Linked DNA regions of Anolis sagrei. The protein of the gene in region 2 interacts with the protein of the main gene of each other region in a pairwise test. Links are inferred from orthologs where the notes say so. Each region holds a gene or a part of one and is shown on either strand. Other genes may lie near its edges.

Region 1 (16,343 bases), on a different chromosome or scaffold from region 2:
TATATATATATACATACATACACACATTATGATTATATATACACATACACACATTATTATAATGATTATATATATACACATGCATACACACACATATAGAATGTATTATTATAATGATTATATATGTACACACATACATACACACATTATTATAATGATTATATATATACATACATACACACATTATGATTATATATACACATACACACATTATTATAATGATTATATATATACACATGCATACACACACATATAGAATGTATTATTATAATGATTATATATGTACACACATACATACACACATTATTATAATGATTATATATATATACATACATACACACATTATGATTATATATACACATACACACATTATTATAATGATTATATATATACACATGCATACACACACATATAGAATGTATTATTATAATGATTATATATGTACACACATACATACACACATTATTATAATAATTATATATATACACACACATATTATTATAAGGATTATATATACAGGGTTAGTCAAAATGAATAGGCCAATAAGCGTTACAGTAAACATACATTCGGCCTATTCATTTTGACTAACCCTGTATATATATATACACATATACATACACACATTATTATAATGATTATATATATATATACACAATACATACACACATATATAAAATGTATTATTATAATGATTATATATATACACACACATATATACACACATTATTATAATGATTGTATGTATATATATATATATATATATATATATATACACACACACACACATATAGAATGTATTATTATAATGATTATATATATATATACACACACCATTGTTGTGTTTTTAAAGCTCCCAAATGCATCCCAGGGAGGTATATTTATTTATTTATTTTATTATGCAAACGCATATGGCGCCACTCCCCTGGGGCTTGGAGCGACTTACAAGAACAGGCTAAAATCTAACACAATTTAAAAACAGCAATATCAAAGATCAAAGGCCTGTCGAAACAGGTATGTCTTCCATGCCCTGCAGAAAGCTAGTAAGTCCCGCAAGGCACGGACTTCAGGTGGCAGAGTCCAGAGCGATGGTGCCACTGCTGTGAAGGCTCTGTGCCTGGTTGCTGTTAGATGAAAGGTCTTGACACTGGGGATTTCCAATAGATCTTGGTCCTCAGAATGGAGGGATCTCTGGGGTTGGGAGGGGGTGAGGTGGTCCCTCAGGTCCATCGGCCCCAGACCATGCAAGGCCTTCAAGGTGAGTCCCATCTCTTTGAAAGTGCTCCGGTGCTCAATGGGTAACCAATGCAGCTGCAGGAAGATTGGGGTGATGTGGCATCTCATCGGAGTTCCCACTTGAATTTTGTACCAACTTGAGCTTCCGGATCACCGACAGCGGGAGGCCAATGTAGAGGGCGTTACAGTAGTCCAGTCTTGAGATGACCGTGGCCTGGACAGGGAGGGGGCCAGCAGTCTAGCTTGCCGCAGGTGAAAGAAAGAAGGTGGTGCTGCTCACGGCGGAGACCTGGGCCTCCATTGTCAGCAGAGGGTCCAAAAGGACTCCCAGGCTCTTGACCAACGAGGACGGGCGTAGTGCCTCGCCATCCAGGGTAGGCAGCTGGACGTCCCCACTGCCCGGTCGACCCAGCCATAGGATCTCCGTCTTTGCTGGATTCACCCTCAACCTGCTGGCACACAGCCATCCAGTCACGGCCTCAATGAGGCACTGAGGGAAACAATCGGGGACAGAGTCTGGTCGGCCTTCCATCTTCAGCACCAGCTGAGTGTCATCGGCATACTGATAACACTCCAGCCCAAAACCTTGAACCAGCTGAGCAAGTGGTCATAGAGATGTGAAACAAGAGAGGGGAGAGAATGGCCCCCTGAGGAGGAACCCCACAAGAGAGAGAGAGAGGGGGGACCTCTCTGAGACCAGGCCTTCCCTCTCCACTCGCTGTCCACGGTTGTGAAGAAAGGAGGACACACATATATACATATACAGCATGATTATCTAATAATTTATTATTATTATACATATAATAATGTATAATAGATTATTAAGGTTATTAAGATTGAAATTGAATCCAGACAAGACAGAGGTCCTCCTGGTCAGTCGCAAGGCCGAACAGGGCATAGGGTTACAGCCTGTGTTGGACGGGGTCGCACTCCCCTTGAAGACGCAGGTTCGCAGCTTGGGTGTGACCCTGGACTCATCGCTGAGCCTGGAGCCCCAGGTTTCGGCGGTGACCAGGGGAGCATTTGCACAGCTAAAGCTTGTGCGCCAGCTGCGCCCGTATCTTGGGAAGTCTGACTTGGCCACGGTAGTCCACGCTCTGGTTACATCCCGTTTAGACTACTGCAACGCTCTCTACGTGGGGTTGCCTTTGAAGACAGCTCGGAAGCTCCAACTAGCCCAACGCTCGGCAGCCATGATTTTAACAGGAGCGGAGTGCAGGGAGCATACAACCCCCCTGTTGCGCCAACTCCACTGGCTACCGATCTGCTACCGGGCTGAATTCAAAGTGCTGGCGTTGGCCTTTAAAGCCCTAAACGGTTCCGGCCCAAGCTACCTATCTGACCGCATCTCTGCCTATGAACCCACCAGGACTTTGAGATCTTCCGGGGAGGCCCTGCTCTCGATCCCGCCTGCTTCTCAAGCTCGGCTGGCGGGGACGAGAGATAGGGCCTTTTCTGTGGTGGCCCCCCGGCTTTGGAACACCCTCCCCATAGAGGTACGATCAGCCCCTTCGCTGATGGTGTTTCGGAAAAGATTGAAGACATGGATGTTTAAACAAGCATTCGGTTAATCCGTTGTAACGAATTGTGATGACTAAGGATTGGTTATACACGGACGATGAATTTTGGATTACGATTCCAGTTATGAGATGCATAGGATTGTTATTGGTGGCCCAATAATTTGTACTGTATATGTGTTTTATGCTTTTAACTGAATATTGTTTTTTAAATGTTGTAAACCGCAATGAGTCGCCGATTTAGGCTGAGATATTAGCGGTATACAAGTACATAAATAAATAAATAAAATATATTAATATAAGTATTAAAATAAAAATACTATAATAATGTGATATTATGTAAATATAATACAATAATATATACTAAAATATAATATGAATATAATAAATTATAATAGTAGAAATATAGTAATAAAATATATTAATAATATAAATATTAAAATAAAAATACTATAATAAGGTAATATATAAATATAATATATACTAGAATATAATGTGAATATAATAAAATATAATAGTAGAAATATAGAAATAAAATATATTAATAATATAAATATCCCAGTGTTCCTTACTCTCTCCATTGGCGCCATGAACAAATAAAATAAAAAAATAAAAAACAATAATAATATAAATATAAAGCAGATAAAATAATATAAATATACTAATGTAATATGACTATAATAAAATATAATAATAGTAGAAATATAATAATAAAATATATTAATAATATAAATATCCCAGTGTTCCTTGCTCTCTCCATTGGGGCCATGAACAAATAAAATAATAAAATAAAAATACTATAATAATGTAATGTTATATAAATATAATATAATAATATATACTAAAATATAATATGCGTGTAGTAAAATGTAATAATAGATATTAGCGGTATACAAGTGCATTAATAAATAAATAAATAAATAAATAAGATCTTCCGGAGGGGCCCTGTTCTCGGTCCCACCACCCTCTCAGTCGCGCTTGGTGGAGGCGAGAGACAGGGCCTTCTCATTGGTGGCTCCCCGGCTCTGGAACTCCCTTCCACTGGAAATTCGATCTGTCCCCTCCCTCCTGACTTTCAGGAAATTACTAAAGACCTGGCTCTGGAATGTGGCATTTGAGGACTGAATCTTTGATGAACTGTGACTACGACTATGACTGTATTGACGTTCTGGCCTGGGTAATTGTAATGATGGTGTTTTATTGTATTTTATTGTGTGGTTTTAATCTTTAATGATGTTGCACTCGGTTGTATTTGTATACAGGGTTAGTCAAAATGAATATTTATTTATTTATTTATTTGCTTCACTTTTATACCGCATATTTCAGCCCTTGACAGGCGACTCAATGCGGTTTACAGTGCAATTAAAAACACGGCAATACAACAACCGGGACGACAACGTCGCTCCACAACAATTAACATAGACAGACAAATCGACAAACAACATATATAGCGCCTCCGTTAAAGTCAGATCCATTCTCATAGTCATTGTGCCGTTCCTATGTTCAGTTACCGTCTTCCTTAGTTAGTTGCATTGCTTAGCCGAACGCTTGTTCGTAAAGCCAGGTCTTGACCATTCTCCGAAACGCCAGCAACGAAGGTGCCTGCCTGATGTCAGCTGGCAAGGCATTCCATAGCCGAGGGGCCACCACTGAGAAGGCCCTGTCTCTCGTCCCCGCCAAGCGTACCTGTGACGCAGGCGGGATCGAGAGCAGGTCCTCCCCAGACGATCTTAATGTTCTAGTCGGTTCGTAGGCGGAAATGCGTTCGGAGAGGTAAGCGGGGCCAGAACCGTTTAGGGCTTTATAGGCTAAGGCCAGCACCTTGAATTGAGCCCGGTAGCGGATTGGCAGCCAGTGGAGCTGGCTCAGCAGAGGAGTGGTGTGCTCCCTGAGTGCCGCTCCAGTTAGCAACCTGGCTGCCGAGCGCTGGACCATCTGAAGCTTCCGGGCTGTCTTCAAGGGCAACCCCACGTAGAGCGCGTTGCAGTAATCAATCCGGGATGTGACCAGAGCGTGGACTACCGTGGCCAAGTCCGACTTCCCAAGGTACGGGCGCAACTGGCGCACAAGTTTGAGTTGTGCAAATGCTCCCCTGGACACCGCCGAAACCTGGGGTTCCAAGCTTAGCGAGGAGTCCAGGATCACACCCAAGCTGCGAACCTGCGTCTTCAGGGGGAGTGTCACCCCGTCTAACACAGGCTGTAACCCTATGCCCTGTTCGGCCTTCCGACTGACCAGGAGTGCCTCTGTCTTGTCTGGATTCAATTTCAATTTGTTCGCCCTCATCCAGTCCGATACAGCGGCCAAGCACCAGTTCAGGACCTGAACAGCCTCCTTAGTAGTAGGTGGGAAGGAGTGACAGAGTTGGACGTCATCTGCGTACAGATAACACCGCACCCCGAAACTCCGGATGATCTCTCCCAACGGCTTCATGTAGATGTTAAATAACATGGGGGACAATATTGAGCCCTGCGGGACCCCACAAGTCAATGGTTGTGGGGTAGAGCAGTTGTCCCCCAGCAACACCTTCTGAGTACGATCCTCTAGGAAGGACCTGAGCCACTGCAGAGCAGTGCCACCAAGGCCCATTCCCGCGAGGCGTCCCAGAAGGATACCGTGGTCGACGGTATCGAATCTTTGATGAACTGTGACTACGACTACGACTGTATTGACGTTCTGGCCTGGGTAATTGCAATGATGGTGTTTTATTGTATTTTATTGTGTGGTTTTAATCTTTAATGATGTTGCACTCGGTTGTATTTGTATACAGGGTTAGTCAAAATGAATAGGCCAATTCATTTTGACTAACCCTGTACATTGGCCTATTCATTTTGACTAACCCTGTATTTTGCAATTGCATATATGCTGTAAACCGACCTGAGTCCCTCGGTTGAGGTGAGAAGGCCGGGATAGAAAACTTCCAAACAAGCAAACAAATAAATAAAAATTTTATTTATTTATTTGACTTGAATAATTTATTATTATTATTATAATATAATAATGTATTTGATTTATTTTATTTGTTTATTTATTTATTTGACTTGTATAAATTAAATGATTATCTAATTTATTATTATTATAATTATTATTATTATTATTTCCCCGCTATCCTTTTCCTCCTCCCCATGTTTATACTATTCTGCCCTCCTTCCTGTTGCCATGTTTATACAGGGTTAGTCAAAATGAATAGGCCAATAAGCCATTCAATTGAATGGCTTATTGGCCTATGCATTTTGACTAACCCTGTATTCTGCCCTCTCTTATCAAGGCACTGAAAGGCACTGGACCTGGATCTCCTCGACCATGTCCTGGGAGAAGACCCCCTCCTGCACCAGGAGATCCCAGAGGGGATCCACTCGCAGCTCCTTCACCAGCCGGACCCGATTCCTCCGCAGCAAAACCCGGTGGGACTCCTCCATGGCGGGAAATAGAGGAAAACACGCTACTTCCGGGTAGGGAACTCCCCTACCCTTGACCACGCCCCTGGCTCCTCCCCTTTGCGTGACGCCACATGCCCATATATGGCCACCGCTTGGCGACATCGTTCTGACGCATGCGCGGTTATCTCCTTGTGGTTGAACTGCCCGGAGACAAGCAGCTCCCTACGCATGCGCAGTGTCCGCTTCCTTATCGCCAAACGATCCATGAGACAAACCGCTCTTCACCACGCATGCGAGGTACAGGTTTCTACGCATGCGCAGTTTCCCCCTCCTTAGGGTTGAACAAACCGCATCGAGACAAACGGCTCTCTGCGCATGCGCAGTTTCCAGCTCCTTGTGCCCAAACAACTCACAGTAGACAGACGGCTCACCACGCATGCGCAGTTTCCACCTCCTTAGGGTTGGACAACCCTAGCAAGACAAACGGCTCTCCGCGCATGCGCAGTTTCCCCAGCTCCTTGTGGCGAAACAACTCACAGTAGACAGACGGCTCACCACGCATGCGCAGTTCCCCCCTCCTTAGGGTAGAACAAACCGCATCGAGACAAAGGCTCTCTGCGCATGCGCAGTTTCCAGCTCCTTGTGCCCAAACAACTCACAGTAGACAGACGGCTCACCACGCATGCGCAGTTTCCCCCTCCTTAGGGTAGAACAACCCGTAGCGAGACAAACGGCTCTCTGCGCATGCGCAGTTTCCAGCTCCTTGTGTCCAAATAACCCGCAGGAGACAGACGGCTCACCACGCATGCGCAGTTTTCCCCTCCTTAGGGTTGAACAACCCGCAGCAAGACAAACGGCTCTCCGCGCATGCGCAGTTTCCAGCTCCATGTGCCCGCGCAGGCGCAGCTTGCAGCCCCTTGTGCCCAAACAACCCACAGGAGACAGACGGCTCACCACGCATGCGAAGCACAGCTTTCTACGCATGCGCAGTTTCCCCCTACTTAGGGTTGAATAACCCGCAGCAAGGCAAAGGGCTCTCCGCGCATGCGCAGTTTCCAGCTCCTTATGCCCAAACAACCCGGAGACAGACGGCTCACAACGCATGCGCAGTTTCCCCAGCTTTTTGCTCTCTGCGCATGCGCAGTTTCCAGCGCCTTATTGCCAAACGATCCAAAAGAGAAACAGCTCTCCGCGCATGCGCAGTTGTTTCCAGCTCCTTATTGCCAAACGATCCGAGACAAACACCTCTCTGCGCATGCGCCGTTTCCAGCTGCGCATGCGCGGAGAGCCGCTTGGAGACGGCTCAACACGCATGCGAGCTACAGCTTTCTACGCATGCGCAGTTTCCCCCCGCCATATGCTCTCCGCGCATGCGCAGTTTCCAGCTCCTTATTGCCAAACGATCCACGGGACAAGCAGCTCTCTGCGCATGCGCAGTTTCCAGCTCCTTGTGCCCAAACAACCCGCAGGAGACAGACGGCTCACCACGCATGCGAAGTACAGCTTTCTACGCATGCGCAGTTTCCCCAGCTTTTTCTCTCTCCGCACATGCGCAGTTTCCTGCTCCTTATTACCACACAATCCCCGAGACAAACGGCCATCCGCGCATGCGCAGTTTCCATCTCCTTATGCCCAACCAACCCACAGTAGACAGACGGCTCACCACACATGCGAGGTACACCTTTCTACGCATGCGCGGTTTCCCCCGCCTTATACTCTCGGCGCATGCGCAGCTCGTTCCACCGCTCGCTTACCCTCCCGGCCAAGTTTCGAGGCGGGGCTTGGCCTTGCCGGAAGTGAGCGTCTCTATGGTGACGGCGGCCGGAACCGGAAGTGGAGCCTAAAGGGACAAGAGAAGAGAGCTGAGGGTGGGTAGTGCGAACATTTCACCAATTATTATTTTTATATATATAATATTAAACTATGTATATGAACTCTTTATATATATATATATATAATATATATTGTATATTTTTATGTTTTATAGATATTCTATTTTTATTACATTTTTAGATATTCTAATTTTATTATATATATATATATATAAAATTGTTATATTTCGTAGAAATTATATTTTTATTGTTTGATGGGTATTCTATTTTTGTATTTTGTAAATATTTTTTGTATATAGATATATTTATATGTTTGTTCATTATTTTATAATTTATAAATATATTTTGTCTCAACATTTTTATTATTTGTATATATTTATATATATGTTACATTTATATTTATATAAATATTATTTGATATTTTGATATTATATTTCATACTCAAATTTGCCTTTTTATTATTTGTTTATATATGTGTGTAATATATATTTATATATATATATATATGTATAATATATAATGTTATATATATATGTTTGTGTGTGTATATATATATATATTATATAATATTATAATATATATAATATTATATTTATATAATATTTTAGTTGTATATGTTTTTATATTTTTAGATCATATATGTTTATTAGTATTTATATTATATGTATATATTTATATATATGTTACATTTATATTTGTGTACGTATTATTTTATATGTTGATATTATATTTTATACTGACATTTTACCTTTTTATTATATTTATATATATGTATAATATATATAATGTTTTATATATATATGTGTGTTTGTGTGTGTGTGTATATATATATTATATAATATTATAAGATATAATATTTTATTTGTATATGTTTTTATATTTTTAGATAATATATGTTTATTATTATTTATTTTATATGTCTGTATTTTTATATATTATAATATATTTTATACTGACATCGTACCTTTTTATTATTTGTTTATATATATGTATGTGTATACATATATATATATATATATAATGTATAATATATATTTTTATATATTTATATATTTATATATATGTATAATATATATATATAATGTTATATGTGTGTGTATATACATATATTATATATAATATTTTATTTGTATGTTTTTATATTTTTAGATAATATATGTTTATTATTATTTATTTTATATGTCTATATTTTATATATATACATTACATTTATCTTTGTATTATATATATTTATATTTTGATATTATATTTTATACTGACATTTTACCTTTTTATTGTGTGTTTGTATATATATATATGTATAATATATATACTATATGTGTGTGTGTGTGTGTGTGTGTGTATGCAACTGTCTTTCGGGCTGCAAAGGTTGACAGCAAGCTACACAAATTGGTCGGAAGCTCACTCTGACCCCGGCTGGCTTCGAACTCATGACCTAGAATCATAGAATCCTAGAATCAAAGAGTTGGAAGAGACCTCCTGGGCCATCATCCAGTCCAACCCCATTCTGCCAAGAAGCAGGAATATTGCATTCAAAGCACCCTGACAGATGGCCATCCAGCCTCTGTTTAAAAACTTCCAAAGAAGGAGCCTCCACCACACTCCAGGGCAGAGAGTTCCACTGCTGAACGGCTCTCACAGGCAGGAAGTTCTTCCTCTTGTTCAGATGGAATCTCCTCTCTTGTAGTTTGAAGCCATTGTTCCCTTGCGTCCTAGTCTCTCTCCAGGGAAGCAGAAAGGAAGCCTGCTCCCTCCTCCCTGTGGCTTCCTCTCACATATTTATACATGGCTCTCATCATATCTCCTCTCAGCCTTCTCTTCTTCAGGCTAAACATGCCCAGCTCCTTAAGCCGCTCCTCATAGGGCTTGTTCTCCAGACCCTTGATCATTTTAGTCGCCCTCTTTCCCTGGACACATTCTAGCTTAGAGTCAATATCTCTCTTGAATTGTGGTGCCCAGAATTGGACACAATATTCCAGGTAACGTGGTCTAACCAAAGCGGAATAGAGCATGGAGAGCAGGACTTTTAACTGTGCTAAAACACAAAAGAAACATGCACAAGAAGTGGAAAAAGGGAGAAATCACCAAAGAAGAATTCAAACAAATAGCCAACACCTGTAGGGAAAAGGTCCGCAAGACTAAAGCACAAAATGAACAGAGGCTGAATAGAGCATGGGGAACAGGACTTCCCTGGATGTAGACACTAGGCTCCTCTTGATGCAATATGTATAATATATATACTACTAGCTGTGCCCTGCCACGCGTTGCTGTGGCCTATAGTAAAACTTATCAAAGTTGAGGTAGATATTTGGACTATTATGTGTGTGCAGCGGCGGGGGGAATGATGGAGCCTGGGGTTGCGTGTGTGTGTGCGGCGGCGGGGGGAGTGGGGTTGCGTGTGTGTGTGCGGCGGCGGGGGGAGTGATGGAGCGTGGGGTTGCGTGTGTGTGTGCGGCGGCGAGGGAGTGATGGAGCATGGGGTTGCGTGTGTGTGTGCGGCGGTGGGGGAGTGATGGAGCGTGGGGTTGCATATGTGTGTGCAGCGGCGGGGAGAATGATGGAGCCTGCGGTTGTGTGTGTGTGTGCGGCGGTGGGGGGAGTGGGGTTGCGTATGTGTGTGTGCGGCGGCGGGGGGAATGGGGTTGCGTGTGTGTGTGTGGTGGCGGGGGGAGTGATGGAGCGTGGGGTTGTGTGTGTGCGTGCGGCAGGGTGTGTGTGTGTGTGCGGGAAGCGGCGTGGTGGGGCTTGGAGTGGGCATGGCTTCTGCAGAGGGAACGTTGGCCAGAAGGCTGTGTGTGCGCGCCAGGGAACTTGCGGCTGGGCACCAATGCGCATGCTCAGTTGTTTTGCCATTTTGTGAGTGTGTTGTTGTGTTGTTTTTCATTTTGAGTAGATATATTTGTACCTTGTGGGCTGTGTTATTGGCATGGGAATTTTGGTTAAGTTTCGTTGGGGGGTTTGTGAGCTTTGTTGTTTTGCCGTTTTGTGAGTGTGTTGTTGTGTTGTTTTTCATTTTGAGTAGATATATTTGTACCTTGTGGGTTGTGTTATGGGCATGGGAATTTTGGTTAAGTTTCGTTGGGGGGTTGTGGAGTTTTGCTGTCCGGTTGAACCAACCTAACAGATTTATATATATAGATATATGTGTGTGTGTGTGTATATATATATATGCAACTGTCTTTCGGGCTGCAAAGGTCGACAGCAAGCTATACAAATTGGTCGGAAGCTCACTCTGACCCAGGCTGGCTTCGAACTCATGACCTTTCAGTCAGTAGTGATATTTTACATTTTAGTAATTGTGTGTGTGTGTATGCTTTAGATATTTGCATATTATTTTAGATTTTACATTTGTAGTACAATATTCTGATCTAGTACAATAATAATAATCATTATTATATAAGGGGCCACCTAGTCCAATATTATTGTATAATATTGTATTATCATTATACAATATTATTATTATATTTTAATTAGTATTATTTTACTGACACAAAACACAGTATGTCACAGCAAAATAATACTAATAATTGCAACAACAATAATAGATATGTATATTTCTGGCCTCTCCTGACCTCTCTCCGCTTCGTTTTGTTCAGGAAGCAAGATGGAGATGAAGCGGCTGAGCGTCTCGCTGGTGGCGCTGCTCTTCCTCGTCCTGGCCCTGCAGATCTTGTCGGCCATTGATTTCGACCCCTACCGGATCCTGGGGGTCAGCCGGACGGCCAGCCAGGCCGAGATCAAGAAGGCCTACAAGAAGCTCGCCCGGGAATGGTGAGCGGATGGGGAAAATGGGATCTTGGGAGTTCTGGTTCTGTGGTGAGAGCTTGGGAGTTCTAGTTCCAATGAAATGGGATCTTGGGTGTTTTAGTTCTAATGTGATCGGATCTTGGGAGTTCTAGTTCCGATGCAATGGGATTTTGGGAGCTCTCGTTCTAAAGCAATGGGATCTTGGGAGTTCTGCTAATGCGATAGTATCTTGGGAGTTCTGGTTCTGTTCTGGGAGCTTGGGAATTCTAGTTCTAATACGATGGGATCTTGGGAGCTGATTCTAATGCTATAGTATCTTGGGAGTTCTGGTTCTAAAGTGATGGGATCTTGAGAGTTCTAGTTCTAATCCTATGGGATCTTGGGAGTTCTAGTTCTAAAGTGATGGGATCTTGGGAATTCTAGTTCCAATGCGATTGGATCTTGGGAGTTCTCGTTCTAAAGCAATGGGATCTTGGTCGTTCTGCTAATGTGATAGTATCTTGGGGGTTCTGGTTATAAAGTGGTGGCATCTTGAGGGTACTAGTTCTAATCCTATGGGATCTTGGGAGTTCTAGTCCTAATATGATGGGATCTTGGGAGTTCTCGTTCTAAAGCAATGGGATCTTGGGAGTTCTGGTTCTAAAGTGATGGGATTTTGAGGGTTCTAGTTCTAATCCTGTGGGATCTTGGGGGTTCTAGTTCTAATCCTGTGGGATCTTGGGGGTTCTAGTTCTAATGCTATGCTTGGAAGTTCTGGTTCCAATGTGATGAGATCTTGGGAATTCTAGTTCCAATGCGATGGGATCTTGGGAGTTCTAGTCCTAATGTGATGGGAGCTTGGGAATTCTATTTCTAATATGATGGGATCTTGGGAGTTCTCGTTCTAATACGATAGGATCTTGGGAGTCTACTTCTAATGTAATCGGATGTTGGGAATTCTAGTTCTAATACAATGGGATCTTGGGAGTTCTGGTTCTAATGCTATGCTTGGAAGTTCTGGTTCTAATGTGATGGGAGCTTGGGAATTCTCGTTCTAATGCTATGGGATCTTGCGGGTTCTAGTTCTAATCCTATGGGATCTTGGGAGTTCTGCTAATGCAATAGTATCTTGGGAGTTCTGCTTCTAAACTGATGAGATCTTGAGGGTTCTAGTTCTAATCCTATGGGATCTCAGGAGTTCTAGTTCTAATGCTATGCTTGGAAGTTCTGGCTGTAATGCGATGGGATCTTGGAAGTTCTGGTTCTAATGTGATGGGAGCTTGGGAATTCTAGTTCTAATATGATGGGATCTTGGAAGCTGGTTCTAATGCGATGGAATTCTGGTTCTAATTCTATGGGATTTTGGGAGTTCTAGTTTTAGTGCTAGGGAATCTTGGGAGTCAAAGTGGTGTCAAACTGCATTAACTCTATGTTGCGATGATAATGATGATGATGAGATATAATAATAATAATAATAATAATAATAATAATAATGTCGTATGTATTTTAATACTGTTGTATTTTACCGTTCCGTTTTAAAACCCTGTTGTGCCCTGCCTTGAGCTGCAAGAAAAAGCAGAATTATTATTATTATTATTGTTATTATTATTATTATTATTTATTTCCTTCTCTTCTTTTTCTCTCTTTTCCATTTGTTCTTTCTTCCTTCCCATCTTTTATCTTTGTTGTTTGTTGATCTCTCTTTGTTCTTTCTTTCTTTTCTTTCTCTTTTTTCTTTCCCTTCCCTTCTTTTTTCTTTCCTTCCATCCCCCCATATGTTTTCCCCTTCCCTTTTTCTTCTTCCATTGCTTTTCTTCTATCTTTTTTCTATCCCTCTCTTCCCTCCCTCCCTTCCTTCTTTCCTTCTCTTCTTTTTCTCTATTTTCCATTTGTTCTTTCTTCCTTCCCTTCCTTTATCTTTGCTGTTTCTTGATCTCTATTTGTTCTTTCTTTCTTTCTTTCCTTCCTTTCTCTTTTTTCTTTTCCTTCCCTTCTTTTTGCTTTCCTTCCATCCCCCATTCTTTCCCCCTTCCCTTTTTCTTCTTCCCTTGCTTTTCTTCTTTCTTTTTTTATTCCTCTCTTCCCTCCCTTTCTTCCTCCCTTCTTCGTTCTGTTCTCTTCTTTTTCTCTCTTTTTCCATTTGTCCTTTCTTCCTTCCCTTCCTTTGCTGTTTCTTGATCTCTCTTTGTTCTTTCTTTCTTTTTTTCTTTCCTTCCACCCACCCATACTTTCACCCTTTCCTTTTTCCTCTTCCCTTGCTTTTCTTCTTCTTTCTATCCCTCTCTTCCCTCCCTCCCTCCCTTCCTTCTCTTCTTTTTCTCTCTTTTCCATTGGTTCCTTCTTCCTTCCCTTCCTTTATCTTGGCTGTTTCTTGATCTTTCTTGGTTCTTTCTTTCTTTCTTTCAGTCTTTCTTTCTTTCTTTCTTTCTTCCCTTTCTCTTTTTTCTTTCCCTTCTTTTTTCTTTCCCCCTTCCCTTTTTCTTCTTCCCTTATTTTCTTCTTTCTTTTTTTCTATTCCTCTCTTCCCTCACTCCCTTTCTTCCTTCCTTCTTCATTCTGTTCTCCTCTTTCTCTCTCTTTTCCATTTGTTCTTTCTTCCTTCCCTTCCTTTATCTTTGCTGTTTCTTGATCTCTCTTTGTTCTTTCTTTCTTTCAGTCTTTCTTTCTTTCATTCTTTCCTTTCTCTTTTCTTCTTTCTTTTTTCTAACCCTTTCTTCCTTCCTTCTTCCTTTCCTTCACTTCTTTTTTTCTCTTTTCCATTGGTTCCTTCTTCCTTTCCTTTATCTTTGCTGTTTCTTGATCTCTCTTTATTCTTTCTTCCTTTCTTCCCTTCTTTTCTCTTTTCTTCTTTCTCTTCCCTTCTTTCTTTTTCTTTCCTTCCATCCACCCATACTTTTCCCCCTTCCCTTTTTCTTCTTCCCTTGCTTTTCTTCTTTCTTTTTTCTATTCCTCCTTTCCCTCACTCCCTTTCTTCCTTCCTTCTTCCTTTCCTTCACTTCTTTTTTCTCTTTTCCATTGGTTCATTCTTCCTTCCTTTATCTTTGCTGTTTCTTGATCACTCTTCTTTCTTTCTTCCCTTCCTTTCTCTTTCCTGCCTTTCTCTTCCCTTCTTTCTTTTTTCTTTCCTTCCATCCCCCCATACGTTTTCCCCTTCCCTTTTTCTTCTTCCCTTGCTTTTCTTCTTTCTTTTTTCTATCCCTCTCTTCCCTTCTTCTTCCTTTCTTCATTCTCTTCTTTTTTCTCTTTTCCATTTGTTCTTTCTTCCTTCCCTTCCTTTATCTTTGCTGTTTCTTGATCTCTCTTCTTTCTTTCTTTCTTTCTTTCTTTCTTTCTTCCCTTTCTCTTTTTTTCCTTTCCCTTCCCCTTTTTCTTTCCTTCCACCCTCCGTACTTTTCCCTTTTCCCTCTTCCCTTGCTTTTCTTCTTTCTTCTTTCTATCCCTCTCTCCCTTCTCTCTCTCCCTTCATTTCTTCGTTTCCTTCTTTTTTTCTCTTTTCCATTTGTTCCTTTTTCCTTCCCTTCCTTTATCTTTTCTCCTTTCTCTTCCTTTCTCTTCCTTTCTCTTTCTTTCCATCCCCTCATACGTTTTCCCCTTTCCTTTCTCCAACCAACAAACATTATTATTATTATTATCATTATTATTATTATTACCCTGCTGTATCACTCCAAAGGAGACTCAGCTCGGCTTGACATAAAGGCATTACTATACAATCTATATATATAAAAATGCTCTGTGTGTCATGAGTACCTTAAAAACAAAAGAACTAATGAATGAAATCGCACCAAATTTGGCAACAAAAAGTCTCACAACACAAGGAGTGACCATCACTCAAAAAATTGAGATTTTGTCATTTGGGAGTTGTAGTTGCTGGGATTTATAGTTCACTTACAATCAAATTCTGAACCCCACCAACAATGGAATTGAACCAAACTTGGCACACATTTCTCCCATGACCAACAGAAAATACTGGGTTTGCTGGGCAGTGTCCTTTGGTTTTGGAGTTGTAGTTCACCTACATCCAGAAATCACTGTGGACTCAAACAATGATGGATCTAGACCAAACTTGGCAGAAATACTCCGTATGCTCAAATATGTACACAGATGGAGTTTGGGGGAAATAGGAGATTTCTGTCTTTTATGATCGGGCATCAAGCATTCTGCTTTAGCGTTTTGCCTTTTGGATTGACTACTGCCCCGCGTGTTAGTACTAAATATGCCGAAATGTGGAGTTTGGGGAAAATAGACTCTTGACATTTGGGAGTTGTAGTGCTGGGATTTATAGTACACCTACAATCACAGAGCATTCTGAACCCCACCAACGATAGAATTGGACCAAACCTCTCACACAGAACCCTCATGTGGGCCACAGCAACGCGTGGCAGGGGACAGCTAGTTTAAAATAAGTAACGATACAAACATTAAAACAGAATGAAACACAAACAGTACTAAAAAAAAATCACAGTTAAAATCCATCCCAACCTATTCCTTGTGTTTGCTTTGCAGGCATCCCGACAAAAACAAGGACCCTGGAGCGGAAGATAAGTTCATCCAGATTAGCAAAGCGTACGAGGTACGGACAGACAGACAATCACACATACTGTCTATACTCGAGTATAAGCCTAGTTTTTCAGCCCTTTTTTTAGGATCAAAAAATC
Region 2 (15,589 bases):
TAGGGTGGGGGTGGAAGGGGTGTGTGGAGGATTACATATACAGGAATGATCTACCTTGGAAACCATCTGGCATGTTCCACCCAGGGATCATCGCCACGTTCCCAATTCCTCAAAGCACCATCGCAGTAGAAACATCGTACCCAATCTCCATCGCCTGAAAAAAAATTCAGACAAATGGTCTCATGGTTAGACAACAGCCATAGAAACAAAAGAGTCATGGCTACACAAGATATACACAGCAGCTCCTTAGGTAGCTACTTAGCAACAGCCGGTAAAGCTTCAAGCATCTCTCAGGAGTAGAGCGACACTCATATGAGCCTGGATTGAGAAACATTACTCCAACACCTTTATTCATTCTAATGACAAAAATCTAATTCCGCGACCCACACTAGTATTTTGAAATAACTTTTAGGAGACATCTTTTCAACATTTAGCCTGTTGGAATTGAGGGACAGAAGTAGATACCCAGATAGCGATCCTCTTGTAGCTGATTGTCATGCTGTTTTTTTCAGGCCTCCTATTGACACACCTGTGAAATCCAAGTGGTGGGACACAACATGGAACTTTTTTTTTTTTTTGTCGTGTCAGGAGCGACCTGAGAAACTGCAAGTCACTTCTGGTGTGAGAGAATTGGGTTTCTGCAAGGACGTTGCCCAGGGGACGCCCAGATGATTTGATGTTTTATCATCCTTGTGGGAGACTTCTCTCATGTACCCACATGAGGAGATGGAGCTGATAGAGGGAGCTCATCTGCCTCTCCCCGGATTTGAACCTGCAACCTGTCAGTTTTCAGTCCTGCTGGCACAGGGGTTTAAACCACTGCGCAACTGGGGGCTCCTTTTTTTTTTTTTTAAATGATTTTTTATTAAATTTTTCACAAATCCACACAAGGAAAGAGGGGGAACAATAACAAGAAGATAGAACAGTAGGAAAGGGAGAAATACACATACAGAAAAAAAAGAACAAAAAGCAACAATACCTAACTAACATCTAATACAGACATTAAAACTATCCAACTATTCTAAAATGACTTCCACTCCAACCTCCGGATCTTTTCTATACATTTCTTCACCTTAATGTCTATTCTCATCCCATTGTTTTTTCAACTTTCTTTTCATACTCATATATAGGGGACCAATCTGTCCTCCTCAAAACTTTTCCATTGTTTCTTCTCAACAAAAAAGTTAGTTCATCCATGTCTCTTATTTCTTTGATTTTCTTCCACCATTCTTCAATACTCGGAACTTCACCATTCTTCCATTTTTTGGCAAAAACCATCCTGGCCGCCGTTGTACAATAAGTAAATAGTTTATCTTCGTTCTCATCCAGTTTAAGATCAACGTCTGTAAATCCCAGAAGATAATATTCAGACTTCTTCTTATAACTTTTCTTTAATATTTTTTGCATCTCCTCATGAATAATAGACCAAAACTTTGTTGTTTCTTTACATGTCCACCACATGTGGTAAAAAGTGCCTACTTGCTCCTTACATTTCCAACACTTATCTGATACATTTTGGTACATATAACTCAGTCTACTCGGAGTCAAATACCATCTATAAAACATTTTATACCAGTTTTCCTTTAAGTCCATAGCATATGTATATATCAATTTTTTATTCCACATCATTTCCCATTCCCCAAAGTGGATGGGTCTTCTTATATTTTCCGCCCATTTAATCATGGAGGTTTTCACCTGTTCTGTTTCTGTCATCCACTGGAGCAATTTATTATATAATATTGCAACCGCTTTCTTCTGTATATTTAATATTCTATCCCATGTGTTCTCCTTCCAATCAAAACCTATTTTCCGATCTTGTTTATGGTATTCTTTAATTTGTAGGTAATTTAGCCAAGTTATATTGCTATATACAGTCTTTAATTGTTCAAATGTTTTGATCTCCGCTTTCCCTTTCACTAATATATCCTTATATCTTGGCCAGGTCCTCCATCCTAGTAATCTTCTTTGATGTGCCTCCATTGCTGAAATCCATAATGGTGTTGTTTTATAAAAAAGAGCTTTATATCTTATCCATGTCCGTAATAGGGAGGCTCGCACAAAATGGTTACCAAAATTCTTCTCCTTCATCTCTCTATTATACCATACATACGCGTGCCATCCCACTCTTAAATCATAGCCTTCTAGGTTTAGGCACTTTTCTTTATCTAAAGTCATCCAATCCCTAATCCAGGACAATGCACAGGCCTCGTGATATGTCTTCAAATCGGGAAAGCCCAATCCTCCTCTTGTTTTCTTATCTATTAAATTTGTGTAATTAATTCTTGGTCTTTTTCCTTTCCAGACAAATTTCATTAAGTCTTTCTTCCACTGTTTAAACAAAGTTTGACTTCTTATCACCGGTATATTCTGGAACAGGAACATGAGTTTTGGTAATACATTCATTTTTATCAAGGCTATTCTTCCCAGAAGAGATATTTTCAACCGGTCCCAGTTCTGTAAGTCCTTTTGAACCTTCTTCCAGACTGATTCATAATTATTCTTTAAGAGTTGTCCATTTCTAGCTGTAATCCAAACTCCTAGATATCTAATTTTCTTGACACCTTCTATTCCAATCTGTTGTTGGATCTTTATTTGTTTCTCCTTATTCACATTCTTAAATAAAAGTTTAGTTTTCTTCATGTTCATCTTGAAACCTGCCACCTTTCCAAAGTCTTCTATTTTATTTATCCAACTTTGTAGATTTTTCTCCGGATTTTCGATTGTACCTATTAAATCGTCTGCAAACGCTCGTATTTTATATTCAAATTTTCCAACTTTTGCTCCTTTAATCTTTTCATCTTCTCTGATCTTCTTCATCAGGATCTCCACCGCCATAACAAAAATCAATGGAGAGAGTGGACAACCTTGTCTCGTGCCTTTTGTAATCTCAAATTCTTGAGTCACTTGACCATTCACTTTCACTTTAGCCTTTTGAAATTCATATATGGCATTAATTGCATTGTTAAATTTCTCTCCCATGTCCAACTCTTGTATCAGAATCTTGAAGAAATCCCAATTCAAATTATCAAATGCTTTCTCAGCGTCTATTGACAAAAGGGCAAATTCTTTCTGATGGTTAGTCTCATAATATTCCAAAAGATCTAATACATTTTCTTTCATGTGTCTATTTGGGAGAAAACCTGTTTGTTCTTCTCCAATCCATTTACTTAAAAAAGATTTTAATCTTGTGGCCATGATGTTTGCGAACATTTTATAATCCGTATTCAACAAGGAGATCGGTCTATAATTTTTAATATCATTTTCCGGTGAACCTTCTTTATGTATCACAGTTATTTCTGCCTCTTTCCAGGAGTCTGGTACCTTTCGATTTTTCAAAGCTTCATTCGCTATAACTTTGAAAATGGGTATCAACTGTTGTTTAAACGTCTTGTAGAATCCTGCCGTAAACCCATCCGGTCCCGGCGCCTTATCTACATTCATTTTGCTTATAGCTTTCTCAATTTCCTCTTCTGTTATTTCTGGGGGCTCCTAACATGGATCTGATAAGAGGGTTGTATATGTTTTTTGGACTGCAAAGTGGACAGAGTGCACATTATAACATGAGTCAACAGTGTGAAGCAGCAGCTAAAAACGCCAGTGTGATTCTAGGCTGCATCAATGGGGAGTTTAGTGCCCAGATTGGGGAAAGTAATAGCATCACTCTATTCTGCTTTGGTCAGACCTTATCTCTAATACTGTGTGAGTTCTAGGTAACTTAATTTATAAACAAGCTGGAAGGTGTCCAGAGAAGGGCAACCAAAATGATCAAAGGTTTGGAAGCTAAGATCTTTTAGGACCAGCTTAAGGTGCTGTGTATATTTAGGTTGGAGAAAAGAGATTTGAGAGGGGACATGAGAGGTGTGTTTAAATATTTGAATGGATGTCACATTGAGGAGGGGGCACACTTGTTTTCTGCTGCTCCTGACTAGCACACAATGGAGCAATGGATTCAAATTGCGGGGGGGGGGGGGGCACGACAGGGGGGATGGGACGACCCCCTAAACATTAGGAAGAACTTTCTGACAGTAAGAGCTGTTCAGCAGTGAAATATGCTGACTTGGAGTGTGATGTTTCCTTCTCTGGAGATTTTTTAACAGAAGTTGGAGGGTTATCTGTTGGGAGTGTTTTGACTGTATGTTTCTGCATGGCAGGGGCACTGGACTGGTTGGCCCTTGTGGTCTATTCCAACTCCACAGATTCTCATCCATTCTAGGAACAAATAAATGGACAAGATCTAGACTTCGACCTTTTGAAAAACAAAGTGGGGCTAGCAACCTGATCATTTAAAAGTTTTTAAAAATAAGTGGTCATACTAAACCATAATTTCAAACAGTGTAATAGCATATTAAGAATAGGTGTACAGCATATACACACTATTTTATTTATTTATTTGCAACATTTATATCCTGCCTTTCTCACCCCGAAGGGGACTCTGAGCTTTTATATGTACACACAATTTTATATTATTAACATAGCACAATATTAGTATTATATAGTATTATAATATACTATACCACTATACTGTAATCTTATTTGTAATGGGTTGTTGTAGGTTTTTTCGGACTATATGGCCATGGTCTAGAGGCATTCTCTCCTGACGTTTCACCTGCATCTAGGGCAGGGGTCCACAAACTTTTTAAACAGAGGGCCAGGTCACAGTCCCTCAAACTGTTGGAGGGCCGGATTATAATTTGAAAAAAATGCATGAATTCCTATGCACACTGCACATATCTAATTTGCAGTGCAAAAACACTTAAAAATACAATAATTAAAATGAAGAACAATTTTAACAAATATAAATTTATTAGTATTTCAGTGGGAAGTGTGGGCCTGCTTTTGGCTGATGAGGTAAGATTGTTGTTGTTGTTGTTGTTGTTGTTGTGTGCTTTCAAGTCGTTTCAGACTTAGGTTGACCCTGAGCGAGGGCCGGGTAAATGACCTTGGAGGGCCATATCCGGTCCTCAGGCCTTAGTTTGAGAACCCCTGATCTATGGCAAGCATCCTCAGAGGCAGTGAGGTCTGTTGGAGCTAGGAAAAAGGGTTTATATGTCTGTGGAATGACCAGGGTGGGACAAAGGACTCTTGTCTGCTGGAGCTAGGTGTGAATGTTTCAACTGATCACCTTGATTAGCATATAATGGCCTGACAGTGCCTGGAGCAAACTTTTGTTGAGAAGTGATTAGATGTCCTTGTTTGTTTCCTCTCTGTTGTTGTGCTGTCGCAATTTTAGAGTTTTTTAATACTGGTAGCCAGATTTTGTTCATTTTCATGGTTTCTTCCTTTCTGTTGAAATTGTCCACATGCTTGTGGATTTCAATGGCTTCTCTGTGTAGTCTGACATGGTGGTTGTGAGAGTGGTCCAGCATTTCGGTGTTCTCAAACAAAATGCTGTGTCCAGGTGGTTTGTCAGGTGCTCTGCTATGGCTGATTTGTAATGTTACATTATAATATCAATATTATATTCTACTAGCTGTACCCACTACACATTGCTATGTCTGACCTTCCCTCTCTCTTTCTCTTTTCTTTCTCTCCTTCCCTCTCACCCTCTTCCCTTTTTTCCTCCCTTCCCTTTTTTCTTTCTTTCTCTCATTCCTTCCTTCCCTTCCTTTTCCCTTTCTTCCTCCCTTTCTTTCCCTTCCTCTTTTTTCCTTCTTTACCTATTCTTGGACTGCAACTCCCAACAGCCCTCCTGATCCATCTATCTACCTATCTACCTACCAATCTCTATCTAATCTATCTATTTATCTGGAAGATTGGTGGGAGTTGCAGTCCAGGAATAGGAAATTGGAAATATGCAGGGATTGAGATGCTCTCAAAGAAATCCAAGGAGAAGCAAGCTTGCATCTTGGAAGCAGTGCATTTGGATCATCCTCCTCTCCTAAGGGGCCTGGTCTAGGAGATGCTGGGAGCTGTAGTCCGGAAGAGAGTGTGGATATGCTATTGTGTGGGGGGTTTTTTTGCCAAGGGAGCCATTTTGCGCATGCGCTGTAGCATTTATTTCTTTTTTTGTTGCTTTTTAAGTCCCTTCCGCTGTGTTTTTCAGTGTTTATATGAGTTATGGTCACTCATTGGGCTGAGAGGTATATTGTGTCCACATTTGGTGTCAATTTGCCCAGTGGTTTTTAAGTTATGTTAATCCCACAAATGAACATTACATTTTTTATTTGCATAGATTACATTATATTATCAATATTATATGTGTATACAATATATTATTAGCACAGCACAATATTAGTATTATATATTACTATATTGTACTATACCATTATACTGTAATATTATTACTAATATTACATGTAATAAAATATATAATTATGATATTGTATTATTAGTAGTATTATATTGTACTACATTATAATATTGTTATCAATATTATATGTGTGTGCAATATCTTATATTATTAAAAAGCACTTCTGCACCAACAAGCTAATTGCTAAATGCCTGTTGAAATAAAATATTCTTCCTAGACCTCCTCTTTCAAAGTCAAACCATTCTGAACATGATGACTGAAATGGAGCCTTCACAAACAGAAGTACTTTCAATGCACATTCAACATTAATAAACAAGTAAAGTAATTGGTTTTGCAATATTATTTTCGAGTTCCCTGAAAAAGACCTGCTGGGACCAGAATACTGTACTACCTGGACTTTGGGTAAGACCTAGCAGGACAGTGCTGGTATTTGTGCATACCTGTGTAGAAAAAGCCTGCTCCCACCAGCTCCTCTGGAGACACGTGAGCGTAGGGTGGCCAGCAGTGATATGTCCTCAGGCGATCCCTTTCCATTTCCAGATCTGGATATTCCGGTTGGCTGTCTCCGGCAGCTTCTTCCATGTTCAAACTTTGCAGCATGCCAAGGAACTGGCCATCCACACAGTCCGGGATTTCTCCAGCCCGAGGCAGGGGCTGGTTGCCGAAATCCCTGCCCTGGATGAAGGGACAGCTTGGGAAGAACTTCTCATGCTCCACCATGGGGTCGTCTTCAGCAGTCCAGTCGTAAAGCACTCCTCCACAGCAGAAACACTCCACGTGGTCACCAGGCCCAATGAAGAAAAACCCAGCTGCAGACAAGTCGGATGGAGAGACAGGTACCTGCTCTGACCAGTGCCGGAAGGTCCTGAGTCGCTTTTCTTCCGATCTCATACCAGAGTGTGACAAATAGATTTGCCGGCCCCTGGTTTCCTCTGGAGAGGAGCTGCCCTCTGAAGATGCACTCTCCCTTCTGTTTGGATCTTCCATTTCCCGGTTGTTAGGCAGGAAAGAGGCCAGCACATCAGCAATAAACCTGGTGCTAGATGCAAGCAAACGCGTATGCACATCAGCAGCCTGCATGCTTTGGTCTTCTTTGGCTCTACCAACCGATCCACTGACAGTGTGTTCTGGAAATCTCCCAACTCCAAAAGCCAAACAAGCTCCCAAACAACAGATATTCAGAATTCTGGCTTTTCTGCAGTCTGCTGATTTTATTATTGGAGGTCAATGGTAGCCCTTCTGTCCAATTCTTCTCCTTGCTTGAACAGGAAAGGAAGAAAAAGAGAAACAGTCACAGCTAGCCAGATGTGAGTGTGAGTATTTTGGGTGGGGAGGGAGAAAGAAGAGAGAAATCCAGCAACAGTTTAAAGCAGGGGCACACTGGACACAAAAGGTCTCCTGTCAGACTGAATGCCTTGTGGACTTTGTTCAGGCAGGACAAAAGGGAGGGAGGTAATCCAGTGACTCACAGAATGACTAAACAGGTCTAATGTTTATGCCATTTACATAAAAGTAAAAGACCCATCCCACTGGTCTCCTGTTTATATATGTGTGTACTATTTTTTTCACTTTGAAATCAGTTTGCAGCAACTGAAAAAAAATGAAGAAAAAAAGAGAAAGTGGGAGGACAAGAAAGAAACCAGGATATTTTAAAACCAGCTGGAAAAGTGGAAAGCATAAGAAAAGTCAAGGCTGTTGAGAAAATAAACAGATTACCCCTGGATACTTTTTGGAAAACAGTTCCAAACTGTCTCTAAAATGTTCAAAATGTTTTAATTTACTTAATTACTTGGATCTGGTAGTTTCACTTTGCATGAGCATATTATTTGTTTTGAACAAAAGTTTGCTGTTGTTCTTTTCTATGGTGTAGGAATAGAACTCTATTATTTCCATGTTATACATGACTCTGGTATCAAATTCTCTGTTGAAACAGTAATTTCACGGAGCAATTAAGGCAATGGTTCTTAACCTTCCTAATGCTGCAACCCCTTAATATAGTTCATGTTGTGGAGACCCCCAACTATAATATTATTTTTGTTGCTACTTCATAGCTGTAATTTTGCTACTGTTATGAATTGTAATGTAAATAATATCTAACATGCAGGATGTATTTTCATTCACTGGACCAAATTTGGAACAAATTCCCGATATGTCCAAATTTGAATGCTGGTGGGGTTGGGAGGGATTGATTTTGTCATTTGGGAGTTGTAGTTGTTGGGATTTATAGTTAACCTCAATTAAAGAGCATTGTGAACTCCACCAACAATGGAGTTGAATCAAACTTGGCACACAGAACTCTCATGACCAACAGAAAATACTGAAAGGGTTTGGTGAGCAATGACCTTGAGTTCTGGAGTTATAGTTCACCTACCTCTAGAGATCACTGTGGACTCAAACAATGATGGATCTGGACCAAACTTAGCATGAATACTCAATACACCCAAATGTGAACACTGATTGATTTTGGGGGAATAGACCTTGACATTTGGGAGTTGTAGTTGCTTGGATTTATTGTTCACCTACAATCCAAGAGCTTTCTAAGTCAGAATATAGTTCAGCCAAGGGAATGTGAAGAAAGTAACATATTCATTGATGTGAGACAGTGAGGGTTTCATAAGAAAAGTTAACTGAGTGAATTATACTGAATGTAAGACTCGAGGCTGTAACAAAACACAAATGTAACCATAAAGCATTGGAACCAGAAGCTATAAATAAACTTTGTTACTTAGTTGCTTATCGGAGTGTTTCAAGCCTGTGATATAAAGCACAAAGGTTTAACAGCTCACAAGAAAGCCCCAACCAATTTAAAAGGGAAACTGCAGCAGTACAAGGCAGTAAAGGAATTTAGAAAGGAAATTCTTCTTCCCCTCACTGAGTCAAGAAGAAAGGCACCTGTAAAAGGACAGAAACAGAGTATATCCCAGGTTTTAAAGTGGTGACAGAAAACTACATATGTGGTGTGGCATCACGTATTCAGTTATGTGCAATCTTACGCCCCACACCCACCAACGATAGAATTGGGCCAAACTTCCCACACAGAACCCCCATGATCAACAGAAAATATGGTTTATGATAGTTTTTGGTGACCACATTGACACCCCTTCGCAACCCCCCCCCCCCCCGGGGTTCCAACCCCAAGGTTGAGAAACACTGACATAAGTAATGACAATGCACCATTGACAGTTCTGATTAATCCTCTCTCATTCCACTTTTTCTGCTCCATTTAAAATGTCCATGTCTTCTCCTACTCCAAGGGTCCCTCTTTGTACTAGGCTGGTTTCAATTGCTGTAGGTAAAGGTAAAGATTTTCCCCTTTCATTAAGTCTAGCCATGTCAGACTCTGGGAGGTGGTACTCATCTCCATTTCTAAGCGAAAGAGCCGGTGTTGTCTGTAGACACCTCCAAGGTCATGTAGCCAGCATGACTGCATGGAATGCCGTTACCTTCCCGTAGAATCGGTACTTATTGATATACTGAAATTTGCATGTTTTCAAACTGCTAGGTTGGCAGGAGTTGGCCTAACAGCAGGAGTTCACCTCGCTCCCTGGATTCGAACTGTCACTCTTTCAGTCAGAAAGTTCAGCAGCTGAGCAGTTTAACCTACTGTGCCACCAAGGGGTCCATTTCAATTGCTGCAAACTGAGCTCAAAGTGCAAAAGTACTTAGCACCCTTTTAACCTAGTAGTGAGGGGAAAACCTTGCTCTTTCCAGTAGCCTTAGGCAAAAACATACTACTGCAGCCTTTTCTAATTTGTCCTCCTTAATAACCCTACTATCTTGGCTACACCTGGTCCTGTTTTCACCTCTAAAATGTTGAAGGCTACATAGTAGAGCAGGGATCCTCAAACTTTTTAAACTGGGGGCCAGTTCACTGTCCCTCAGACCGTTGGAAGGCCGGACTATAGTTTTTTTAAAAAAAAAATCAATTAAAAAAATCCTATACATATTGCACATATCTTATTTTGCTGTGTGGAAGGGCCCTTAGAGGGGGTTCTTTCTAGCCCTCTTTAGGCAGTAATTCCAGGAGCAGAGAATGGGAAATCTTCCTATTTCTAGTCTGAACAAAATCTGACTACCAGTATTTAAAAAAACTCTAAAATTATAACTGTAAATAAAGAACAACACTCAAACACAGGGGAACGCCAGACAAGAAACAATCAGGGCCAGCTAATCACCTCTCAACAAAGGATTCTCCCTAAAAACTGTCAGGCAATGAAATGGTAATCAAGGTGGCCAATTGAAACATTCATACCCAACTCCAACAGACAAGAGTTCTTTCTCCCACCCTGGATCTTCCACAATTTTCCTAGTAAAAGGTTTTCCTCTGACATGAAGTCCAGTCATGTCTGACTCTGGGGTATGGTGCTCACCTGCATTTCTAAGTCGAAGAGCTGGCGTTGTCCATAGACAACTCCAAGGTCATGTGGCTGGCATGACTGCATGGAGCCCGAGGCAGCCTCACTTGGCTGGCTCACACTGCCCATCGGGCCTGACAGATAGCGTGAGCTTGCCAAGGGAGGAGCAGCACTGCGCGGCCTACTCTCGCATAAAGCTCCTCGCGAGGTGCTTTACACGAGAGTAGGCCGCGTGGGACAGCCGCCCTTGGCTGGCTCATGCTACACATCGGGCCTGACAGCGTGAGCCAGCCAAGGGAGAGGCACTGTGTGGGGGGGGGGGCTCCTCCTCCGCGGGCCGGATAAATGCCCTTGGTGGGCCAGAAGTGGCCCGCGGGCCGTAGTTTGAGGACCCCTGCAGTAGAGTAACATTTGCTGACTCCAGCTGTAAAGCAGAAATAAGCAATGCAAGGGCAAATATCCTGAGAAGAACCAGGAAGCTGCTATTGAAAAGTCCAATTCTGCTAAAGCCAAGAGAAGCAGAAACAACAGTTTTTAAGAGAAAGCACCTTTGTTGATTGATATCTGAAATTATAAGCACGCTTATGATCTTGCTCTGGGGATCTATACTAGGAAACTCTTATGGAGAAATATAGAATGATTTATGGTATCATATTGAACTACTTTAACGTCTACTTTCACTAGTCTGCAGAATATGTCTGGTTCTATATTCAATCATAGGAAGAAATTAATAGAGGGACTGAGGCTATTGCCAGTAGCAACCCAAAATGACTAAACAGGTCCCCATGCTTAGCGACAATATATATAGGTTGAGTATCTCTTATCTGAAATGCTTAGGACAGGGTTTTAAAATTTTGGAATACCTATAATTTTATAGACAAGCATAACAGGAGGCATTCTCTCTATAGATCTCAAGGGCCCCTTCCACACAGTTGAATAAAATAAGACATTATCTGCTTTGAACTGGGATATATAGCAGTTTGGACTCAGATAACCCAGTTCAAAGCAGATATTGTGGGATTTTCTGCCTTGATATTCTGGTTTATATGGCTGTGTGGAAAGGCCCAAGGTCTTCCAGCATGACTACAGAAAGTTGGCCACAGAGTCACACTGGAGAACCCAGATATTCCTAAGGAGAACGTGGTAAACATGGTCTGTGAATAATCAAATCCACAAAAGCCAAAACCACGAATGGGGAGGGACAACTGTATAGTGGATAACTAACTACCTTTCCAGGCTGACTCTGAGGCCTTATGAATTCCAAGTATGTTGTTGTTAATTATAGTCATAGCAGTTCCACTTTGTAGAAAATAGCAGAGGATGGAGGAAGACGTTCCGGAGTTTAAGACAGTTTGATGACTCCAGAACAGAGAATTTGTTGTTCTGCCCTCTGACAGTACATTGGTTCTCCTTTCTTTGTTACAGCTGAACAACAAAGAACAAAAAATGCCATTTTACATTAATTATTCCTCCCCCCACTGCACAATATTTCAACATGAACAGAAGGAACTGAGGTGTGACAGTCTATACATAAAGAGTAGTTTATAATATTGTAATATACCGAAAGGTTGGCGGTTTGAATCTGGGGAGCGGGGTGAGCTCCCACTGTTAGCCCCAGCTTCTGCCAACCTAGCAATTATTATTCCTCCCCCACTGCACAATATTTCAACATGAACATAAGGAACTGAGGTGTGACAGCCTATACATAAAGAGTAGTTTATATTATTGTAATATACCGAAAAGTTGGGGGTTTTTAATCCGGGGAGTGGGGTGAGCTCCTGCTGGTAGCCCCAGCTTCTGCCAACCTAGCAGTTACTATTCCTCCCCCACTGCACAGTATTTCAACATGAACATAAGGAACTGAGGTGTGACAGCCTATACATAAAGAGTAGTTTATATGATTGTAACATACCGAAAGGTTGGCAGTTTGAATCCGGGGAGCGGGGTGAGCTCCCGCTGTTAGCCCCAGCTTCTGCCAACCTCGCAGTTCAAAAACATGGAAATGTGAGCAGATCAATACGTACTGCTCCAGCAGGAAGGTAATGGCACTCCATGCAGTCATGCTGGTCACATGACCTTGGAGGTGTCTATGGACAATGCCAGCTCTTTGGCTTAGAAACTGTGATGAGCATCCCCCCCCCCCCCCCCAGAGTCAGACACGACTAGACATAATGTCAGGGAAAACCTTTACCTTAAGATACCTCTGAGCTTTACAGTTTCCAAAGTATATTCTAAATAGTCAAATATACACTTTTCCTTTTTGCCCAGCTATACAGAGTTTCACCTCCACACTTTATAATGTGGCTAAGACTGCTGGGATTTGCAGTCTAACATTTGGAGGGCTTTTATATGCAGAGGTATAGTTACAAGCGCAGACTAAAATGGAAACATTGCCCCTCTGTACAAATCCTCTCCCCTAAAATTTTCCACAAATTACTAGCATAGCAGTCATTTAACATTCCATTTTGGCATCTAAAAATATGTTTTAGACATCCAAAGGAAAGAGGTAAAAAAAAGTTACCAAGGACAAATGAACACAAGGAAACAAAAGTTCTAGGTGTGAATTATTTTGAGTGGTAGAAGTTTGGGGACTGAAGGAACATTATTTTGGATTAGTAAAATCCTTATTTGGCCTGACAATGCAATCATTTTGTCGTTGCCTCGTGCTATATCCCTGTAAGAGAGAATAAATAGTGTCCACAACTAATTTGTTGCTGTATGCTTTCAAGTTGTTTCTAGTCTTTGGTGGAAACAATCACAGGGTTTGTTTGTTTGTTTTTTGGTGGGGGGGGGGAGTTTGTCTGAAGCTGAGAGAATGTGACTTGTCCAAGGTCACCCAGTAGACTTTCATGCCCAGGTGGAATTGGAACCTTATCTCCAAAATTGTAACTGAACGCTCAAACCATTACACCACCCTGTCTTACATAACAAGTATATTTACAATAAACTCAAGTCAGCAAACCAAGCCACAGGCATCTGAGTCACAACCCACTGCCCCAAACTCTCTGTACACAATTATGTTATTGTTTATGCCTGGCACTTACCTAATGGTATTAACCACAACAAGAAACACTGATCCGCAGCCACTACAACAGAAACTAAGAGAATAATGCTGCCTCCTGGGCCACCTTTAACTTGCAAGCTCCACCTGGTAAATTAACTCATTTGTGTTAATTTTTAAAGCTGCAAGCTGTTTTTGACTACACCTGAGAGCACAAGCCAAAACCTACTGGGTTTTGGCTTGTGCTCCGATTTTATACAATAGTTGTAGTAATGTTGAGCATCATTTTGTGCACATTGAACTGTTGGAAAGTAAAACTATTACTCAAAAGTATTTTGGGCATTTCTGGAATTCCAGATAAAGGATGCTCAGCCTATATATGATGAAGGTTGGTGTTGGGGTGGGGAACCTGTAGTGGTTCAGGCATTGTTGGACTCTAACTCCCATCATCCTGACCATCAGCTAGACTTACAGGAACTTGTAGTGGTCAAAGTATTGTTGGAGTCTAACTCCCATCGCTTCTGACTATCAGTTAGGTTTCAGTCTTATGGATACCGAAATCCACAGCTTCCCAAGGACTACAGGTTTTGGATCTCTGCCTCAGAGACCTGAATCAGAGAATATATAGCTCCAGATTTTAACTCAGCAATGAAGCTTATCGATGAGTGACCTCGGACAAGTCTGTGGCTTTAGCTTAACCTACCTCAGAGGACTGTTGTGGATAAAAAGTGCAACAAAAAAAAAACAACCATGCACACTACTCTAAATTTTATGGAGGAGGTGGAATGGAAATATGATAATATATGGTTGCCATTGATAAACGGACTCTTCACAATGTGAGCTATCACTTGTACTTGTCTAACTCTGACTAAATGGATCACGAATCTCTAGATATTGATGAAAGATACATATGATTTGTCACAGGAACCATGATATTTTGAATACAGCTAAGCTCCGGAATGTGGTGGAGGCTCCTTATTTGGAGGCTTTTAAACAGAGGCAAAATGGCATCTGTCAGGGTTTGTTTTGTTTTTGTTTTTTGTCATGTCAGGACGACTTGAGAAACTGCAAGTCGCTTCTGGCATGAGAGACGTTGCCCAGGGGACGCCCGGATGATTTGATGTTTTTATAATCCTTGTGGGAGGCTTCTCTCATGTCCCCGTATGAGAAGCTGGAGCTGACAGAGGGAGCTCATCTGTCTCTCCCCGGATTCGAACCTGCGACCTGTCGGTCTTCAGTCCTGCTGGCACAGGGGTTTAACCCACTGCGCCACCGGGGGCTCCATTATCTGTCAGGGGTGCTTTGAATGCAATTTTCCTACTTCTTGGCAGGGGGTTGGATTGGATGGCCCATCAGGTCTCTTCCAACTCTATGATTCTAAGCAAAATGTTTTTTTTAATCTGCTAATTAAATCAGTGGAGAAGCATAGTGTTTCTCACTTCACATGTCATCAGTTATATGTAGACTGGCTCAAGCCCCCTAAAACAGGAGGTACATGAAGTGTGGTCCTCCAAATGGCAGCAAACTACAAATCCCAGCATCTCTTACCGTTAGCGATGGCAAAAGAGTTGATGGGATTTGCAGTCCAACAACATCTGGTGAACTGCACTCCACTTACTGATGCATTAAGCTTTAAAAGCACTTTGGAAATCCCCAGTTCAAGGTGTAGAAACTTACTTTTACAGCCCTATATGGCTTTGGCTGCAAACAAATGCTCATACACCTAAATAGGGTGTTAAGGCAGCTTTTCTCAAGAGGGAATCCTCCAGTTTTGAACGACAACTCCCCATAAGCTCCTGACCAAGCTGATGGGCATTGTCATCCAAAGCATCTGGAGCCAATAAGTTGAGGCATTAAGGTCATCTGCTACTGATATATACTTTGCACTAAGCTTCACTAAGAGAAGCAATGTGGCTAGGGATTTGGGAAGCATTTTAATTGCAGGGGGAAAGTGGGAAGAAACCAGGGCCTTTTAAAACCAGC

What was found.
Region 1: the proteins of BIRC7 (region 2) and CASP9 interact in binary tests that used the Homo sapiens proteins (3 or more experiments, as listed by UniProt). The two-hybrid records come from large-scale screens. The link is inferred for Anolis sagrei from reciprocal best matches to the Homo sapiens genes BIRC7 and CASP9.

Annotation. Positions count from the first base shown.
Region 1 is NC_090033.1:19,567,829-19,584,171, forward strand, and holds the start of CASP9 (caspase-9), read right to left. Parts: upstream 6,469-16,343; 5' UTR 6,293-6,468; coding exon 6,038-6,292; intron 1-6,037. Other genes in the region: DNAJC16 (dnaJ homolog subfamily C member 16), read left to right, coding at 11,567-11,733, 16,192-16,258. UniProt on the Homo sapiens protein: Involved in the activation cascade of caspases responsible for apoptosis execution. Binding of caspase-9 to Apaf-1 leads to activation of the protease which then cleaves and activates effector caspases caspase-3 (CASP3) or caspase-7 (CASP7).
Region 2 is NC_090024.1:235,227,015-235,242,603, reverse strand, and holds the start of BIRC7 (baculoviral IAP repeat-containing protein 7), read right to left. Parts: upstream 7,673-15,589; 5' UTR 7,331-7,672; coding exon 6,691-7,330; intron 155-6,690; coding exon 55-154; intron 1-54.